Linked DNA regions of Drosophila melanogaster. Changing the gene in region 1 together with any one later gene gives a genetic interaction. Each region holds a gene or a part of one and is shown in the gene's direction. Other genes may lie near its edges. The genes, in order: DnaJ-1, Gug, Hsp83 and lz.

Region 1 (4,501 bases):
GCGATAAGAACATGAATACAGATACACGGATTGCAACAGTACCCAAGCCACTTGTTTTAAACAAATAACAGGATAATGGGGAGTAATGTAAGCTATTGACTGGGTTACAATCAGGGGTCTGATAACAATCAAACATTGTCCAGTTGCCTTTTGCGAATATCAATGACCACTCACGAGTTGCAACTGATAACGATTATCGCCGCACAATGCAGTGGGTGGGTATTTCACTGGGGGGAACTTTTGGGTCCCTAGAACCCAGACGGATTACTCAATGAATATAGGCGATATGTTTGGGTTTACAGCGAAAGTGCTATTAATGTCGACCGTATGCTCTCTTCGATGTGCCAGCTCTCTATTTGCGGGAATGAATGACTATTTTTATGGGTCTGCCGTCGCTGCTACAATGCTGCATTGCTGCAGTGGGACATCCTTTGAACAGGCGCCATGCCAAAGGATATTCTTTGTGGAAGGGGGGGGGGGGGCAAGGGTTAAGGGTCACATTCGTTTGCGCAATACTTCCAGCGATGGGGCGGTGAACGGTGGGCGGGGCGATCGGTCAAGGCTTCGACTGTGGAACGTGACACGCATATGTCGGCCGGAGTTTGGCCCAAAAAGTGGCCCCAATGGTTGTCCTTCGCGCTGGCAATTAGTCCCTAGCAAGGCGCGTCCATATTTTGCAAAAATTCGTGGGGCGCCTTGTTTTCTTCTCTCTGTATGTGTGCATGTGTGTGTACCTCCGTCTCACTCACCTCAAGTGTGTGTGTGTGTATGAAAATACTGCGGTATACGGCTGCGTTTGTGTGTGAGTGTGGGTTTCGGCTCTACTCTCCCGATGATCCTGCTCCTCCGGTCCTAATCCCGGCCTGCTCGGCTGCTCCTGCGTCCTGACTGCGCTAGAAATTCGCTTAAAACGAGCCTCGACGGGTCATTTTTACAATTGTTTTTTGTTGTTCCGTTCGGCTGTTTTACCAGACGTGCTCGTTCCGGTGTGACTGCCCGCCGCTGACTGTAAAATACTAAACGCATTGCAGCTGTGGCAATGCCCAAGTCTTGGTCTTACGGTCACACTGGCAAAGTTTAAAAATTTATTTATTTCAACTTTCAGTTACTTTTCGTTGGCTTGAATATTACACTAAGAATTCAATTTGACACTTGCAATTTATACATTGTATATTATAATATATTATATGTATTATATTTTATATCATATAAAGATATTTATATCTATTGATCTTTTGATTATAAGCTCTTTGGTTGAACAATATAAGTGCAACTTTCTCCATCACCTTCCTATCTTTTTACAATATGCTTACCTCGTCAATACGTTTTTTCTATTTCAAATATTTCAATATTTCAAAGAAATATTTTGTTTATTTTTCTGTGTGTTTTTAAGCAATCTGACCCCTGTAGAAGAATCCCTTATAATATTAACAAATGTATCCTCAAAATAGATCGATCTCTATCTTCGCAGACTTACACGAAACATTCCAGAACCGATAGTTTTATGCGATATATGAGATTTAAGGAGTACTTTCCGCATTTCGCCATCACAGTCACGCTTTCCTTGGCATTTGCAATCAAATAAGCGCTAATAATAATCGTAAAAGCATAAGAAGCATATAAAGAAGAGTCACCGCCAAAAGCATGCACAAATATATATAAATGGGGAGCGATTTAAAAACAGTGCACTGTGTTTAAAACATCGACAGCTATCGGTTAGCATATCGATATTGACATTCGCAGTCAAACGTTTTCGAGATACAACCCTAAAATCCGAGAAGCATCCAGAAATTTCGACGTAGACGAGGGCGAACCTATAAAATGAGGTTGACGCACGAATCCCGCTCATTATTAAACAAAATTTTGAAGAGAAAGAAACTCTGAAGTAGGGTGTGTTTTTAGTGCGCAAGCCACATTTGGTGGATAAAGAAAAAAGCGAAGAAGAACAATTGAATTGAATCAATTGCGAGAAAGAGACAAAACTCATAAATATTTAAAGAACATTGCCCCGTGAAAATATAAATAGTGTGAATACACAGTGAACAATACCAACAATTGCACTTTGCCATTGCATTTTGCACTTTTCCACTTGGATTTTTGAACTTTTACGGATTCCCAGACAATCGCTTACATTTAAGGTAAGCTTCGTTGGACATATTGCCACATGTGGGCGCATCGATTTGATCTGCTGAAAGAAGCACATCGGGAGCGGAGCTCTCGTTGATGGTGACTACATACGTCACTCGCGTGACAACACGGCAGTTGCACAACTGTGCTGTTCTGTGCTTCTAGCACTTTCCATCGCCCCAACCCAGCAAGCTGGCAATCAGTATTCATTCTAATCTATAGCGTTCGTTCGTTTGTGTTTCCCCTATATTTTCAGCTGAGAGATGGGCAAAGACTTCTACAAGATTCTGGGCCTCGAGCGCAAGGCCAGCGACGATGAGATCAAGAAGGCCTACCGCAAACTGGCACTCAAATACCATCCCGACAAGAACAAGAGCCCACAGGCGGAGGAGCGCTTCAAGGAGATCGCCGAGGCGTACGAGGTGCTGTCGGACAAAAAGAAGCGCGACATCTTCGACAATTACGGTGAGGATGGATTGAAGGGCGGACAGCCGGGACCAGATGGCGGCGGTCAGCCGGGAGCGTACACTTACCAGTTCCACGGCGATCCGAGGGCCACATTTGCCCAGTTCTTTGGATCGTCGGATCCGTTTGGCGCGTTCTTTACCGGCGGCGATAACATGTTTAGTGGCGGTCAGGGCGGCAATACCAACGAGATCTTCTGGAACATTGGCGGCGACGATATGTTTGCCTTTAATGCCCAGGCACCCAGTCGCAAGCGCCAGCAGGATCCGCCCATCGAGCATGATCTGTTCGTGTCGCTGGAGGAAGTGGACAAGGGATGCATCAAGAAGATGAAAATCTCACGCATGGCCACCGGAAGCAATGGGCCGTACAAGGAGGAGAAGGTGCTGAGGATCACAGTGAAGCCGGGCTGGAAGGCCGGTACCAAGATTACCTTCCCCCAAGAGGGTGATTCGGCGCCAAACAAGACGCCAGCTGACATCGTCTTCATCATTCGCGACAAACCGCATTCGCTGTTCAAACGCGAGGGAATCGATCTAAAGTATACAGCCCAGATCAGTCTGAAGCAGGCCTTGTGCGGAGCACTGGTTAGTGTGCCCACGCTGCAGGGCAGCAGGATACAGGTGAATCCGAACCACGAGATCATCAAGCCCACCACAACGCGCCGGATCAACGGACTGGGTCTGCCGGTGCCCAAGGAGCCATCGAGGCGCGGCGATCTGATCGTCTCCTTCGACATTAAGTTTCCCGACACACTGGCACCCAGTCTGCAGAATCAGCTGTCCGAGCTGCTGCCCAACTAGGCTAGAGCTGTGCCAGCCACACACACACACACACACACGCATATAATTGTTATCACTTTAGTTAAGGCCTATATTTAATTTACCGTACGTACTCGTAAGACAACTTAGCCTAACCAATTGTAGCCCTAAGCTAGTGAGTGTGCCAAGCGAAGAGCTGTAGATATTGGCCGAGGATGCAAGCGCTGGATAGGATTAGGAAAGAGAACAACACACACACACACACACACATAAAGCAGCCCGTGTAGCCCGTTTCGTGTTGGAGACTGATCGATTATTAGCTATTTAGCATTACACAAATTCCATAAGTTGTTTTGTTTACCGCCACATGAATCGGTGCCTCAACATCTTATACATAATAATCCCAAAACAAAATATTAAATAAATGAGGTATTATAAATTTAAAGTAACTAACCATTTTTCAAGCAAAGCACATTTTCGGCATTCCAACACGGGGAGGTTACATCAGTTAGTAGAACACTTATAGATTTATACGCCGTAAGGACATAGTACGTTTTAGTACCAATTCTATTATGTTATAAACAATAAAATTACTTATACACACATCAAGTGTCGTTTCTGGGTCAGTGGGTTGCAAGCATTATAGAAATTGCTAGATTTCACGTGGTGGCAATCAAAATGTGGTGGCTAAAACCAAAACAACATGTATTGCTGGCAATTTCTTCTATTTTTAAATATATATAACTAGCGCGCCAAACAATTCAAAAGTCTCCACATGTGGAAACTTCCAGAGGGCAACACGCCACCTGGCGTGTATAGATCGTGTGTTACATTTCAAAAACCATCTGGCATCACTGGCAACGTTTGTTTAAAACGTCGAGTGGAAAAGATGAAATTTAAAATAAAATCGTTGTTTAAAATCCTTTTTCCAAAACCTGAAATCCCCGAAAGCCAAAAAGAGAATCAATAAAAAGAAATTCCATGTTAATTTTATTTTAAATTTCACATTTTATTTTCATTTGTTTTCTCTTCAAAAGGATTTCGTAATTTAATCATTTGTCACACATTTTCACTATCCTTATGTTGAGTGTTAAGTTGCATTTGCAATTGTATAATCATTGTGTATTTCTTTTTACTTTCTTTACTGT
Region 2 (4,872 bases), 2.7 Mb from region 1:
AATAATAATAATAAAAAAACAATAGTATAATAATTCTAAAGATCTGTTAATCACGTTTAAGCATTTCGTGTTTGCTTTCGCAATAATTTTATTATTCACCAAAATGGATCGAATATAACTGCCACTTGAAACTGCCGCTCAAAAACAAAAAAAAAAAAAATTCTGATAGCCGCTAATTGATGAAGAAAGTGTGTGAAGCGCGAAATGAAAACTATTTTCGTTTTCCATACGCTGCTTGCTGGCCACAATTCATTAACTTCTGTCAGGAGATCATAAATTAAAATTAATCTAAGACAATTTAAGCAGGCTGCAACAGGCTGATAAAAACTCGGGTCGAGCGCCGTTTGAAAAGCGATAAGCGAAACCCATTGAAGTCACGCGAATGGCGACAAAGTCGGCGAAATGGTAAAAATGGAAAATGGAAAACCATCGATTGCGGTGGCCAACAAAAGTGGGCGGTAGGTGGTCGAAATTGGCTTAGCTATGGCCATGAACAAATATTATTTTTAATATTGCGACAGAAAAGCAGGAAGAAGAGGTCAAAGAACAACAATTGGCGGAAATCGAATGTGTGAAGTGAACGGGAAGGAAATGGCCAAAACACTCGTGCACACATACACTTACTCTTACGCTTACTCACTCAAAGTTACACTTTTAATGTATCACATATATAATCAGACTTATTTCCCCCACTTTTTTTCAGTGCATTCCCAGCTGCATGTTGGTTTCTGCGCTAAGAAGTGCAGCTGTCCTGATTTGCAGAAAAGGTCAGCAAACAACAAGCGATTCCCTCGAGTGGCCTGACTTGCCTAAATTTAGCTCACTCTTTTCATTCTTTCTGTTCCAATTAAACCGAATTAATCGCCAAAATCCACGCGCAATTACCCCCACTTACCCTTTTTTTACCATCAACCAAAGAATCTACACCCCCCACCGCCGCCTTTTCCTAATGATATTTTAACGCACTTGAGCTGGTTTCTATGCAAATATTGGGCGCTACTTAATGGCCAAACAAATGAGTTGGGCAAATAACATCGGGAATCGGAGTTACTAATTTTTACCTTGATGCTCCACATTTTCAATGGACTCGTCGCACATTTTGAGGATCCGTAGATTCGCAGCTCTTGATTTGTTTTGGTTTTTTTTTGGTGGTAGTGTTAAATGCCAGCGATTTTGCGAACCCTCAGAATTTAAACAGACGACGCGCTTCTTTAGAATTTCCCGATTTTCGCAGCGAGGTGATTTAAATCAGAATCCAAAAACGACGAAAAACAAAATAAACAATAGTGGTGGTGCGTCGGTAGATTTCTTGTGGCTATCGATGTTAGGCGCAGAGTCGATAGTCGCTTCTGCCGAAATGGCGCTTTTGTTCACTGTTCTAACAGAAATGTTAATTTACAATAGGGATATTTTACAATCAGTTGGATTTTTAAAAATTAAATATAAGTTTGTGGAATCGAATTTTTCGCCTATTAGGACGAAAATTAAGCAATTTATTTTTAAAGTAAGCCCACAATATGCTGCGACAAACTGTTAATATAGATCGACTGTTAACCAATTAAACTCCAACTTTCATCGTATTAAATTTCATAGAAAATCTGAAACACAGCTGTTAGCCATATATTAATGTTTAAATATATATCATTTATTTTTTTAACATATGCTTTAGAAGTTTTTAAGTCTTGTTTAAACAAATAAATTACCATTTCAAAAGACAAACTTACGAGTGCTCACCAACGAAAGCTGTTGGCTACACAACAATTGCTGGCTTATTTAGCACATGACCACCAGCAATGCTGCCACTCTGCCACCGCCAGCCTTGCCAGACCCCGCAAAGTATATATTTTTACAAAATGGTGGCTTCTTCGCGGAGAAATTCGTAGTGGCGATTTTTAACAAAAAGCACGCATCTTGGCCAGCCAATTATTGTAATTTGCTGGCGAAAACATTCGCAACCACGCTGGCTGCGCCGTGTGGCTGAAAATTCCGCGAAAAAGCAACCGAAAATCGCACAAGAACCCAGTGAAAATAACTGAAAGCGAAGGCAGGCAATAAAAAAAACGCAAGCAAGCAACCAAAGTGCGTGCCTGTGTGTGTGTGTGTTCGAGTGTACGTCTGTGTGCGCTGCTCTCTGTCTGTGCCTGTGTGTGCGAGTGTGCCTCTCTGTCAGTGTGTGTGTGCGCAAAGTGTATGCAAAAAAAGAAGAAGAGAAACGAAGAAGAGCATTAAAAAAAAGCGTACGACGAGTTTCACGCGCGCCCAACAACAAAAACACCAGAAAGCAGCAACAGCAACAACAACAAAATCCAACAACACTTGGCAGCAGCGGCAGCAATAAAAAAAAAAGCAACAACAAGCAAGCAGCGAAACGTAAGGAAAAATCTACAACAAGTGTGCGAAAATTAATTATTACTAAGTGTGTCACTAATTTAATTTGGAATCGCAGTTGCGCAGCGTGCAAATCATTCAAATTTATGTGAAGTCTTTCGGGCAGCAAAAAACAAAAAACAAAAAAATAACGAAAAACAGTAAAACAGAGAAAACAGTGGCGTATCCCCCCCCCCCCCCCCGCAGTTTTTGAAAGGGTGACCGACGGATGGGTGGGTGTTTGAATCCAGTCTATTATGAACTTTTTGGGGTAGAACAATGCAAACACGAACGAAGGCTCAACAAATTTGCTGAAAAGGAATCGCAAGCGCAGCAGCAGCAACAACAAAGCAAAAATCCAAGCGTCAGCAGCACGGGCAGCAACTAAAACAACAAAAACAGGCCAAGCAACAACAGCAGCAACCCACCACCGTTGTTGCCCCTTTGTTATTGTTGTTGTTGTTGTTGTTATCGTCGGCGTCACCACCGACGCGACGCAACGCGACGCTCTTGCGGCCAGCGCACCCACCACCCCCCAAGGATGCTCCTGCCTCGGACTAACCCCATTCCTGTAAAGCCCCCCCCCCCCCACACCGCCCTTCCCTGTTCCTGTGACCGCTCCTGCTGGCCGTGCTTCTTCTTCTTCTTCTTCCACTCAGTCAATTGCTGTTGCTGACGTTGTCGGAAAAATGTGTCTTGTTGCCTTTTTGCTGGCTGATAAATAAGCTAAAATATGTACTTACCCACTATTAATGCTAGAGAAGTGTTTGGAATTGTATTTATTGGCAATAGATTATAAAAAATATCGCTATAACTGGCGTTATTCCCCGTACTAATAGTACTATTGATATGGACTACTACGACTTACTTAGATATGTCATCTTGGTACTAAAGATTTTCTGATAGCTATTGTTATTCAATATTATACAGTCCAAATAGATAGATAGATTGATTATTATTATTACAGATGTTTTGAACATAGGTCTGCCTGGTTTACATTGTTTATAAAATTTAATAAGGAAAGGATCAAAGAATATGGGTCACATTATTATGTAATTAAAAGTTCTCAACTCAAAACCAGGTACATAGGATTTCAACTATGCTATGCAAATAGCTAACGTATAAAATTGCCAAGTTCTATGGCCTCATTTGGCGACTGCTTTTGGTAGTAGTATCGCTAGTGGGGCATTGTTTTTTCGCAGGGCGCTCCTTGCGCCCCAGCTGCTCAATTCTTCTGTTTGGTTCTTTCATTTTCTTTTTCTTTCGCTTAATCATCTCCATCGTCTCGGCTCTCACCTACGTCATCTCTTCGCCTTCCAGCTGTGTTTGTGCAAATTAACCGAAATATACATTTCCGGCTACTCGCTGCCTCCTCGCTGAGCAACAACTACAAAAACAACAACACCAATAACAACAGCAGGAACAACAATATCAAGAACAACAGGAGCAAAGCAACAAGAACCACCACGACCGCCGCCCACCCCCTTTGAAAATCCATCGACACAGCACCACATCACCATCGTCGTCATCATCATCATCATCCTCAGCAACTTGGAGTCTGGAATCTGGAGACGGAGACCGTAGACCGGAGTTACTTTGCCGCCTGCTGCTGGAGAGAGGAGCATCTTCGTGCGGGACGCCTCGACGATACACAACCCCGACTACGGATTCATGGTGAGCCAAGACATCTGTTCGAGCCCGGCGCACACATTTAATTATAATTATTTGTTTGCTTAATTCGATACTTCACGCTGGCCCCCGTCTCATGTGTCACATCCCCTCGATGGGGTTGCTTGTTCATTGTGCCGAAGGGTTTCCACTCGGCTAATGGAGGAAACTATTTTCCAATGGTATCCCAAAGCAATTAGAAAACCGGGGGGCGCGTGCCCCTAATCCGTTGCTTTGCTATTGTCGCTCATATTCGGATTTGTGGTGTTCATTTTGTGGGCTGGTGGTATTTAGGGGGAATTGCGATTAGATCGATGATAAGGCTTACACATACCCTAAACCCACTGAAACAGATCTTTATCGCCGCACTTGTATACTGCTAATGAGTTGCCTTGTAGGCCAATTAGTACACCCTTGTTCGGAATGAAAAAAAAAAGGGTTGACCGGGATCAGACAGTTTAGAAACTCTTTAGCGCATTGTTGGAAAATATTCCACTTGTTAATAACTATATGAATCTATCAAAACTAGTTTTGGTTGTCCTCTATATGTTTATCAATTTAAATAAAGATAATATTGATTAGCTGCCATTTTGTATTTATAGTGTCATCGTTTTATGGCCACATCTAGTTAAATAGATTAATTTGTATTGTAGCTATTGTAGGTCACTTGTTATACAAGCAATATGGTGCAGGATTAAATCAGAGCTAATGAGGGATTACCAGGTCATATGATACGCAATTTTACGCATTGTTCATGGGGGATTTACGGATCTCTTTATCTCTTCCAATGAAGTGCCATGGTTTAACTTGCTTTTAGCCAAGTGAAATTCGAGGCAG
Region 3 (6,469 bases), 2.6 Mb from region 1:
CTTTTCAAACTCGGCCTGCAGTTTATCGTACTCCTGAAGAAGCTTATCGCGATGGGCATCTTCCGATGAAGATGGTTTTTCATCTGGTTCAGACTCGTCCTCACTGTCAGTACTAAGTGGTATGTTCTCTTCAAGGTTTAGAAAAGATTCAGATAAGGTTTCGGAAATGGAATCACTCTGACTATTTTCTTTGCTAGAACTAAGATTAATTTGGATGGATTGGGTGGGTTTCTCCAACATCGGAGTCTTCTGCTCATCCCAGAATTTCTCTTGCAATTGTGTATATCGGTTCAATATCGTACCGTTCTCAGGTGAAGCGTGGGAGTCAGTCTTTTGTGCTTCTTGGGGTAGCTTCCTTTTCTTAGCCTGCTCCTTGGTGGATTCATCTTCGTTCAGTCTATCAGCATCTGCCTCCTGCATCCCACGTTTTCTAACCACAGTCCCTTTAATTGGTCGGTACTCTTTTCTAGTTGGCACTTGCTTTTCTTGACATTTATCGGCAAGCTTTGGCATTTTCATAACGTCAATAATACAACTTTTTGATTTAATTTGCTTTTCTGATTCCTTGGTGACTGTTCGCATCTTGCTTGTATCATCAGTTTGTTCTTTTGGGAGCTGCTCTTCAAGCTGAAACAACTCATTCTCGCTTCCTGATTGACGCTTTACTGGTCTTTTAATCAATTTGATGCCCAATGAAGGCTGAAGTTGACTTATGATATCTAGAATGTTTTGAGGCATAGCCGAAGCGCTTGTTGATGTTGTAGAACTCTTATGCGCCACCGTTGTTTTCTCCGTGTGTACAACCGGCTGTTCCTGCTCCGTAGCCAGCACTTCGTCGGCTTCGTCTTTCCCTTGCGGTTCCTCCTCTTCTGTCAACTCTACTGTATTTCGTTTCTTAACAACATCCAAATTCTGTGTCTCACCATCCACGAATCCCAGAGGACACTCGAAATCTTTAGGTGGTATTAGGTGTTGCTGCTTTGGAGGCGTCAACTTCACGAGAAGAGCTTCACCGTTCTGGTCGAGATTTTCATAGTCTAGTGCCAGATCCCTGTTGATCCTGAACAAAGTGGGCGTCTGCATTGGGATGAGTCTGTCCATTTTGTAGTTCATGAAGCATTCCGCTCGAAAGTGCCGGGCACAAACTGTTTTGGCTGCCAGTTTGGACGGCGGTGCATTTGAAACGTCAGGGTTTGAACAATTCCTGACCCAATCTTTCAACCTCTTCGGATCCTTAACGGGGAACTTGAAGAAGTGCATATTGGGGTTGCGGCTAGAACCCACCGGACAATCACGAAAACAACACTTAGTGCCGCCCATTTGTTTAAATATAAGCAAACAACTTTTATGTTATTAGTGGTGGAAGTGTTAGCGTCAGCTGGTGATATCGATGGGAGGCATCGATAACAGAATTGACCGAAACCAAATGATCGATATGACACTTCTTAATTAATGAGAGATTTTTTACTTGACTGGGCTTGTAGCAGGTTTTGCACAGAAGCAATTATTTTCCGGAATGTGAAATGTCTGCTTTTTAGCTAATTACAACAAAAACTTTCCAATTTTTGTTCCCCAAACCCACTCAAGTGATTTCAAATTTTACCGTCCGCTTAAAATGGAACTAGTTTATTCCAGAGGAACCAGCTTGCACCACCAAGTCTCTGAAACTCTGGAAATATCGATAGTCTGGTGGAGAAAAGTATTCATAAATATAAATAAAAATTAACAGGTCATAAGCTGATTTGTTTATTATTTACTGTTAAAACAAGTAAAATAATATTGGGAACAATTAAATTTTCCATTTTCCTAATTACAGTATAAGCCTAGTGGGCGTTTTGATATCCAATTGTAATGTTTTAAGCAATCCCAGTGGGCTTTGCTCAATCGTTCGGACCACTTAGACGAATTTCCACCAAACTTAGTTCAGTATAATTTTTGAATTCGCCCGCACAGGTTGCGCACTTTTCGACCGTATCACAACACTGATCTACCCTAGTATTCACAGGAAGTTGCATCCCTGGCATCCAGAAGCCTCTAGAAGTTTCTAGAGACTTCCAGTTCGGGTCGGGTTTTTCTATAAAAGCAGACGCGCGGCGTTTGCCGGTTCGAGTCTTGAAAAAAATTTCGTACGGTGTGCGTCGTAACAACAAGCAGCGTCTGAAAAGTTTTGTGAATTTCCAATTCTATACAAAGCAAAGTGAAAATATCTGTATTTTTACCTTTATTCTGTGAATAGAACGAAAAACATACATACAAGGTGAGTAATGCAAATTACAAGAAAAGAGTGAATAGTTTATCAGTGGCTATGGCCAAAATGTGCATTTTGCGTGGTCCTGTGCATCTCGAATGTTCTTGACCCAAATGTGAGATATTGATTTTAAATTTCTAGGAGCCAAGTTTAAGAATTTTTTTTGATTAATTAAGAGGTGGCAACGTGCAAATTAACTCAAAATGCCGGTTTCTTTTATTTTTTGTCGCTTGGACGCATCTTCCAGAGGTTTCTATGCTTTAGCATGAATTAAACATCGTGCCAAATAGGCCTTTTAATTATATATTACTGTCCTTTATTTACAATTACATGTGGTTTATAGAATACAAGATTAATTTTTGTTTAATGCAATGGTCTTTTAGCGCTAAATCGAATTATGCCGCTCTTTTTAGGGGGTGACAATGCGCAAATCACATTTGCCGCTCGAGAATGTTCTAGAGGTTTCTATGCTTTAGCATGAATTAAACAGCGTGCCAAATAGGCTTTTTAATTATAAATTACTGTCCTTCATTTACAATTACACGTGCTTTCTTTGCATTCCCATTTTAAATTGCACATGCCGCATACGCACACATGCACGCCCATGACTAATACTTTCAAGTAAAAATGTGGCGTCAGTAAGCAAATTCTGTTAAATCGGTTTTTTAATCCTATTTGCTCTATTTTAATTGGTTGGTTGCTACTAGCAACTTGCTAGGCGAATTAGTTTTCCTTTGGCTTCTAGATGCTTCCACAAACTTCCTTGGTGAAGTACGAATTTTCAATGCAATGCTCACTCACACAGACACGAGTTTGCACACAGCAGGGGTAGAAAAATTATCAACCGACCCAATTTGCATAATTATATTTAAATATTTAAATTTAAAACATTATTTTGCAACTTAAAATCAATTCTGTTGGCTAATTGAAATTAAAATTCCATTTTACGGGTTGCAAAGTGAATGCTATAATTTTGACCACCACTGTACTTGTATATGCGCATGTTAAATGAGGCATGTGCAAAAGAGAAAGAAAGAAAAAGAATAAAACCGGAGCAGCTGCTGAAAATGCAGCTGCTTTTCCTTAGTGTTGAACCCACAGACTATAACTAATCCTAATGATTTTGTAAATCCATTGCAGATGCCAGAAGAAGCAGAGACCTTTGCATTCCAGGCTGAGATTGCTCAGCTGATGTCCCTGATCATCAACACATTCTACTCGAACAAGGAGATTTTCCTGCGCGAGTTGATCTCGAACGCTTCCGATGCCCTGGACAAGATCCGCTATGAGTCCCTTACTGACCCCAGCAAGCTGGACTCTGGCAAGGAGCTGTACATCAAGCTGATCCCTAACAAGACGGCTGGTACTCTGACCATCATTGATACCGGTATCGGTATGACCAAGTCCGACCTGGTCAACAACTTGGGAACCATTGCCAAGTCCGGAACCAAGGCCTTCATGGAGGCTCTGCAGGCTGGTGCCGACATTTCCATGATCGGTCAGTTCGGTGTGGGTTTCTACTCCGCCTACCTGGTCGCCGACAAGGTGACTGTCACCTCCAAGAACAACGATGACGAGCAGTACGTGTGGGAGTCCTCTGCCGGAGGCTCTTTCACAGTCCGTGCCGACAACTCTGAGCCCCTGGGCCGTGGCACCAAGATCGTGCTGTACATCAAGGAGGACCAGACCGACTATCTGGAGGAGAGCAAGATCAAGGAGATTGTTAACAAGCACTCCCAGTTCATTGGCTACCCCATCAAGCTGCTCGTAGAGAAGGAGCGCGAGAAGGAGGTCAGCGACGATGAGGCTGATGATGAGAAGAAGGAAGGTGATGAGAAGAAGGAGATGGAGACTGATGAGCCCAAAATCGAGGATGTTGGCGAGGATGAGGATGCCGACAAGAAGGACAAGGATGCCAAGAAGAAGAAGACCATCAAGGAGAAGTACACTGAGGATGAGGAGCTGAACAAGACCAAGCCCATCTGGACCCGCAATCCCGATGATATCTCCCAGGAGGAGTACGGCGAGTTCTACAAATCCCTGACCAACGACTGGGAGGATCATCTGGCCGTCAAGCACTTCTCCGTGGAGGGTCAGCTGGAGTTCCGTGCTCTGCTCTTCATTCCCCGTCGCACGCCCTTCGATCTCTTCGAGAACCAGAAGAAGCGCAACAACATCAAGCTGTACGTGCGTCGTGTCTTCATCATGGACAACTGCGAGGACCTCATTCCAGAGTACTTGAACTTCATGAAGGGTGTGGTCGACTCCGAGGATCTGCCCCTCAACATCTCACGTGAGATGCTGCAGCAGAACAAGGTCCTAAAGGTGATCCGCAAGAACCTGGTCAAGAAGACCATGGAGCTGATTGAGGAGCTCACCGAGGACAAGGAGAACTACAAGAAGTTCTATGACCAGTTCAGCAAGAACCTGAAGCTGGGTGTGCACGAGGACAGCAACAACCGTGCCAAGTTGGCCGACTTCCTTCGCTTCCACACCTCTGCCTCCGGCGACGATTTCTGCTCCCTGGCCGACTACGTGTCGCGCATGAAGGATAACCAGAAGCACGTGTACTTCATCACTGGCGAGTCCAAGGACCAGGTCAGCAACTCTGCCTTCGTGGAGCGCGTCAAGGCCCGTGGCTTCGAGGTGGTCTACATGACCGAGCCCATCGATGAGTATGTCATCCAGCACTTGAAGGAGTACAAGGGCAAGCAGCTGGTCTCTGTCACCAAGGAGGGTCTGGAGCTGCCTGAGGATGAGAGCGAGAAGAAGAAGCGCGAGGAGGACAAGGCCAAGTTCGAGAGCCTGTGCAAGCTGATGAAGTCCATCCTGGACAACAAGGTCGAGAAGGTGGTGGTGTCCAACCGCCTGGTGGATTCGCCCTGCTGCATTGTCACTTCGCAGTTCGGCTGGTCCGCTAACATGGAGCGCATCATGAAGGCCCAGGCTCTGCGTGATACCGCCACAATGGGCTACATGGCCGGCAAGAAGCAGCTGGAGATCAACCCCGATCACCCAATTGTGGAGACTCTCCGCCAGAAGGCCGATGCCGACAAGAACGATAAGGCCGTCAAGGATCTGGTCATCCTGCTGTTCGAGACCTCTCTGCTGTCCTCTGGATTCTCGCTGGACAGCCCCCAGGTGCACGCCAGCCGCATCTACCGCATGATCAAGCTGGGCTTGGGAATCGACGAGGACGAGCCTATGACTACCGACGATGCCCAGAGCGCCGGAGATGCCCCCTCGCTGGTTGAGGACACAGAGGACGCTTCCCACATGGAGGAGGTCGATTAAGCGACCAGTCGAAACAAACAACCAAAATTCATTCTATCACTCGCATTCACATACACAATTTACTTGCGTTTCGAACTTTTATACTGAGTTTACTACGGCCGAGTTAAATTTTGTATTCATTAACATTTTGCCGCGTTATAAGCGACAGACATACGCTTAACTCATAAAAAAGCAGGAATAACTCGTTAAATGGTTAGGTTCTCACAGAACATTCAAGAGCAGTTGTCGTTTTAAGAACTTATAATTTAGAATCCAAGTAATTTATGTAAAAAACTAAAGACTACATACGCGCCCTAGTTGGTAGAGCTATATAAAGAATCGAGTATATATATAATTAAGGTTTGATGACCCGATCGATGATAAACATAAAACCAAATAAACAACAAGCAAATGTGTTTTAAAAATCTAACTTCTGAGCGAGTATTTATTGGGGGGAATAAACAATCTATGAATCGGATTCTTTGCGCAGCAGCTGCTCAATGGCCTCCACCGTGGACACTCCCTTGGTTATCATTATTATCTTGTTTCGCGATCGAGATCCCTTGTCCAAAGAAACGTCGCTCTTTCGAAGACCTAGAACTTTCGACAGAAACTTGACCAGTTCGGCGTTAGCTTCTCCCTCGCTGGGCGGAGCGGCGATTTGGACGCCCACTCCTTCAAAGCCAATTCCTGTGATTCCGTTCTGCTTAGCCCCCGGCTTGGCAAGGATTTGTATGCATATATTGCCGCTCTTATCGACTGAAATCGGACTGGCTTCCTTAGCCGGCATCGCTTTTGCATCGTTTTTCGCACTTTCAACGCCGGCCTTTGATTTCCCCTTGCTCTTCGACATTATTTGGGCGTTGACCGATGTAAACAAGCGGCGCATTAGCTTCTTGGCAATTATTTTAAATATTTTGTGTTTTTAAATGCATTTTAATAGCAACT
Region 4 (4,719 bases), on another chromosome or scaffold:
CGCGTTCTCTTCCACTTCTCCAGCTTAACGGGATTTCAGACAGCGATTAACTTTAACGCGCACTTCGCGATCGCGGAAAAACTCGGAAAAACAAGAGATTCACTGCGTTGCGAAATTGTTTGTGTTTAAAACGGGTGGCTGCACTCACATAGGGGAAAAACGGCTGTGGAAATTTTAGTACGTTTTTTATCAACACCATGGACTAGTTGGGCTTCCGAACATGGTGTGTGCCCTCACTGTTCAGTGGTGGCGCAAACCATAGATGACCATAAAAATGAAATTCAAATGTACTGTGTATAAAATAATAGTTATGCATACAGTCTCGTTTTATTATACGGAATTAGCAATTAAGTAAATTTTAAATTTTAAGCTACACAGGCAGTACAGCATACTAATACAATATTAAAGGAAAAAACGCTTTTGAGGTAGTTTTGAAAGTATTTGAGAGCAATTGAAATGCTTAATTTTAATCACTTGATAGCACTTCTGAAATTAAATAGCATAGACATTTGATTTTCTCGCAATTTCTGCCCTCGCAGATAAGCTGACGTTCTTCTCACGCTATTATATTCCCAGCGATAAGAACTATTTCCCTTCGATGTGATAAGTCGGAGGTAAATTTAAAATAAACACTTTTTAAAATCATAAGAACTCTGCGTTGTTATTTTAATTCGATATCAGTATTTCGACCACAAACCAAGGCTGAACCACAAAATATGGCCCAATGATAGTCTCTTATCACGCCTTTCCTTCGCTAAAAAGAACACATGTCATTTGGAATCCTTGTTTTCTTTGCGCTAGCAACAACACACAGTTTTTAATTAACACTTTTTGCGATAATAGCAGATTTGATAAGCATGTTAAGTATCAGTTTTAAAGTAGATTCTCTGATTTTCATCTCTAATATCCAAAATGTATCTATATGAATACAATTTTCCATAAGTGCGTTTTAAATACATGTATGTTAAATTTTAAATAAAATAATAAAAAAAAAAACACAACTTATTTATTTTCTCATGAAAATCTAATCATATCCAGCTCCTAAATATTTTCGAAATTTCCCGGCTGAACAAGAGCGCCGCTCTTAAGTCGTCACGCTCTCAGCTGATTAAAGAGAGCGCGCTTAAATGCGATTCCAATTGGAAGTGGTTGCAGCCGGTGGTGGATGAAAATGTGTCCACCAATGGCGCGCCTCAAATGCCATGTCCACCTGACCAATCAGAATCCGGGGGCGGTGCCAAGTGCAAGGGAAACGCAGGAGCGAGCGAGAGGGAGAGCAACTGTTTATTTGATTAAGCATTTAAATTCTATTATTTTTAGCGAAATTTATTAAAAATTTGATGCAACAGCACTGCGTGGAATGGTGACTTGTCACAATGCACATACTAGGCCATGCATTTACAGAAGAGCAAGAGAGAGAGAGAGAGAGAGAGAGCGAGCAACTTAAGAGACCCAAAACGCCCCGGCCAAAGAGAGTCGTTCTCGTTCCAATTGGCTCGCGAGGCAAGTGGAAAAACGATTGGATTCGACTCAGAGCCGAGCTCAATCGTCTCGCGAAATTCAAGCGGCGCAGTCAAAAGTTAAAAGTCAGTTTCAGTTATGTTTTGGAGTACGACGCGCGAGCATTATTGTTTCCATTGTTAGCGAAGTTTTTAATCGACTGAAAGAAACACAAGAAAATAACACCTCGCTTACGTGTTAACCCTTTTTTTTTGTAACTTGTGCTTAAGTCACTTAAAGAAATACCGAAGAAAGTAAACTAAGTGTGTGTGTAAGTGTTAAACAAAGTAGTAAACAAAAAGCGCGCCAAAATCGGCTAACTTTTAGTTATTAACTCGAATTTCGTCACCAACTAAATTTAAACAAAAGAGCGACACAGTTTCGCCAGAAACTTGCATTCAAACATATTGTTAAACAGTTTTACATTAAACTAAACACAAACCAAAGTGCTATTAAGTGCAGTTAGTAACAAAATAAAAGTGATAAATGGTGACACAAACGAATTAAGGCAATGTTTTTATGACAAAAACTTAAGTTCATATTTTTTAAGGCTTTATTTTGCGACTGTGAAATAATTTGTTTACTTTGTTGCTTGTTCTCAAACAAATAATATACAATAGTAATTGTAAAAGCTTCTTATACATTGTTTGAATAAACAAATAACTGACTCTTTTACAACCATTTATGATTACTTGGGAGATCAGTTGTGAACATTAAATGTTTATATTGTACTATATTGTTTTTACACCGATTCCCAGAAATATCATCAAAGTTAAACTCGAGAAAAGGAGGCCCGTCTGCGAATCGGGAGTCAAACATAGAGTATTACTAATTAGCCGAGTGAAGTGCAAACAATAAAAATATCCAAATCAAACGAAATCAAATTTAATTAAGTTCAGAAATCATCTGGCAAAAGCATGCTCAAAAAAGAGAAAGAAAAAACAACAATAGCAACAAATGCACCGCTAATTCCTGTGACTAATTTATCAAAGTGCGAACTAGCAAAATGTCGATCGTCGTAGTACTCGCAGTTATTTAATATGTATTCAGAAAGGCAAACATATTTTTAATCATTTTTTAAATTTATATATATTGTTTTTTGCAATTATTTCTTTATTTAAACGTACGCCAGTGAACTGTTTCTATATGTACTTTAATTAAATTGCTTAATATGAAACAAATTTGAGATGTTGTCATGGATTGTTTTTAATGAATCGATCGGCATTTTAAGTTTTCAATTAAACACGAATCTTTCTCATATCGTAAGTGCAATTGCAAACAATTGTTAAGTACGCTTTTTTTTTTCTGTGAATTCGTTTAGAGATTAGAGTTTATTGATGAGTGAACAAAAGACACCGCCGGAGCGAAGTGTGATAAGCGCTTGACCTGCGACCCGCACACACTGCAAGAAAAAAAGGGGCAAGCGAGCGGATCAAAGGTCACCGCCGTCGACGAATGCATTTGCATCTCCTGGCGGCAGAGAAGACGCCTCCATCTCCATCTCCAAATCCAACTCCAACTCCATCAGCATCTCCATCTGGGCATACGGGCGCTGCTGGGGAGTCGCAATTGGACTTGGCATCGCAAACGGAATCGCAATTGCAGCTGGGCTTGCCATTGGCTTCCGGATACGGACTCGGACTCGGATTGGGACTGGGCTTGGGATTGGGACTGGGCCAGGAATTGGTGGCGGACCACAGCACCACTGTGGCGCCCGTCAGCGTTGCCGGTCCCGGCCGCCTGGGTCGCAGCATCAACGGCAGCGGCGGCAGCCACCACCATCACCACCTGCACCACCACTACTCACCGTACCACCACGCCCACCCCTACCACCCACCGCATCCGCACGCGCCCCACCACCACCACCACCACCACCCACCGTATCCGTATCCGCCGGCAGGACCACATCCGCCGGCCATGGTCACATCGTCATCCACATCGCCGACGGGCAACGGCTGGAGCAGCTCCACCGGCGACTTCAAGGGCATCACAGCGGTGGCGACGGCCACTGGCGGCGGCGTAGGTGGTGCCACCCAGGGCGCCACTGCATCCACGGGCGCCACAGCCGCTGAGGTTTTGGCCGTTTCGAGTAGTGCCAGTGTTGGCAGCAGCTCGCCCACAGGTGGCGCCAGCAATGGTACAGCCCATAGTGGGCATAGTGGACACACCGGCGGTCACAGCAGTAGTACCGCCAGCAACAACAACAACAACGGTGCCAGCAATAGCAATAGCAACAATAACAACGCCGTTCACCAGGATCTATTGTGGATGGAGCGATTGGTACAGAAGCGACAACAGGAACATCCCGGCGAATTGGGTGAGTTGTTGGTGGGATATTACCAATAACCTAGTAGTAACACAGTCTGCAAAAGGGTTAAGGATTAATAGCTACCTTAATGTCCTTCAAAATCAAAGTGAATATGAAGATATAGTCTAACTGGATTTGTAATTTCCCGTGAACAAAATTGATTGAACAGAGGGATTTAGCTTACTAACTGTAAATAGCAAATTCTTTGCTACCAGATTCCCAATATGATCTATGGTTCTTGATATAATATATCTTATGAATATAAGATTGATAGATAGATATATATATCAAGGCAAGCCTCTGCGGAGACAGCTCTTCCATTCACAAGGTATCAGCATCTTTAGCTCGTGTCGAGGGGATCTGGTGGATGCTTTGCAGGTCTGTTCGATAATCCGATCCCCGAAAGGTGGAGCGCACATTCTTGCCACATCCTTGCACAATGCACTTCTGGGGCTTCCACATCGTGGCAATCACGATCATCGGACGCAGCCTTATCGGATTCCATGGGTATGATGATCGTGATGATGATACCGATGGCGATGATGATGGTGATGCCAGTGAAGATGGGACTGGCATCGCCGTCGGAATATGCGTAAATTGATATCAATAATTGTTATTGATATCAACGCACGAGTCGTTCCCCTTTTTTATTTTGTTAATGCCACCTTTTTTTTTTTTTTCTTATTCCTTGCTGCCCGTTGAACTTTCCTCCCGATTTATCAATGATATCAATGACCCAGAGCGAAAGCTGCTAATGAAATCTCAGCTCATCGCACCGTCAGTCTTGAAATTAGCTGGGGAATCCGCAAACTGGTTATCCTATATGATTTTTTTTTTCACTTCTGAGTCCTTTCATAACTTGTGCTCAATGGATAGCCTTCATATCGAATTGCAACTATCAGGACTTTACA

What was found.
Region 2: of DnaJ-1 (region 1) and Gug, changing one suppresses a phenotype caused by changing the other (phenotypic suppression), as found in Drosophila melanogaster (one study listed by BioGRID).
Region 3: of DnaJ-1 (region 1) and Hsp83, changing one suppresses a phenotype caused by changing the other (phenotypic suppression), as found in Drosophila melanogaster (one study listed by BioGRID).
Region 4: of DnaJ-1 (region 1) and lz, changing one suppresses a phenotype caused by changing the other (phenotypic suppression), as found in Drosophila melanogaster (one study listed by BioGRID).

Annotation. Positions count from the first base shown.
Region 1 is NT_037436.4:5,749,483-5,753,983, reverse strand, and holds DnaJ-1 (DnaJ-like-1), read left to right. Parts: upstream 1-1,794; 5' UTR 1,795-2,390; coding exon 2,391-3,395; 3' UTR 3,396-3,955; downstream 3,956-4,501.
Region 2 is NT_037436.4:8,448,088-8,452,959, forward strand, and holds the start of Gug (grunge), read left to right. Parts: upstream 1-1,834; 5' UTR 1,835-2,370; intron 2,371-2,560; exon of another isoform or gene 2,561-2,600; intron 2,601-3,687; 5' UTR 3,688-4,041; intron 4,042-4,872. Other genes in the region: CG6983 (uncharacterized protein), read right to left, coding at 1,062-1,098.
Region 3 is NT_037436.4:3,191,111-3,197,579, forward strand, and holds Hsp83 (heat shock protein 83), read left to right. Parts: upstream 1-1,858; 5' UTR 1,859-2,257; intron 2,258-3,388; coding exon 3,389-5,542; 3' UTR 5,543-5,949; downstream 5,950-6,469. Other genes in the region: CG14965 (uncharacterized protein), read right to left, coding at 1-1,320; CG14966 (uncharacterized protein), read right to left, coding at 5,988-6,410. UniProt on the Drosophila melanogaster protein: Molecular chaperone that promotes the maturation, structural maintenance and proper regulation of specific target proteins involved for instance in cell cycle control and signal transduction. Undergoes a functional cycle that is linked to its ATPase activity.
Region 4 is NC_004354.4:9,282,966-9,287,684, forward strand, and holds the start of lz (lozenge), read left to right. Parts: upstream 1-1,683; 5' UTR 1,684-1,771; intron 1,772-2,821; 5' UTR 2,822-2,955; coding exon 2,956-3,817; intron 3,818-4,719. UniProt on the Drosophila melanogaster protein: Involved in prepatterning photoreceptor precursors in the developing eye; in the larval eye disk it defines a subset of cells as an equipotential group that is competent to respond to the sevenless developmental signal and another subset that confer proper photoreceptor identity by positively regulating the homeo box gene Bar.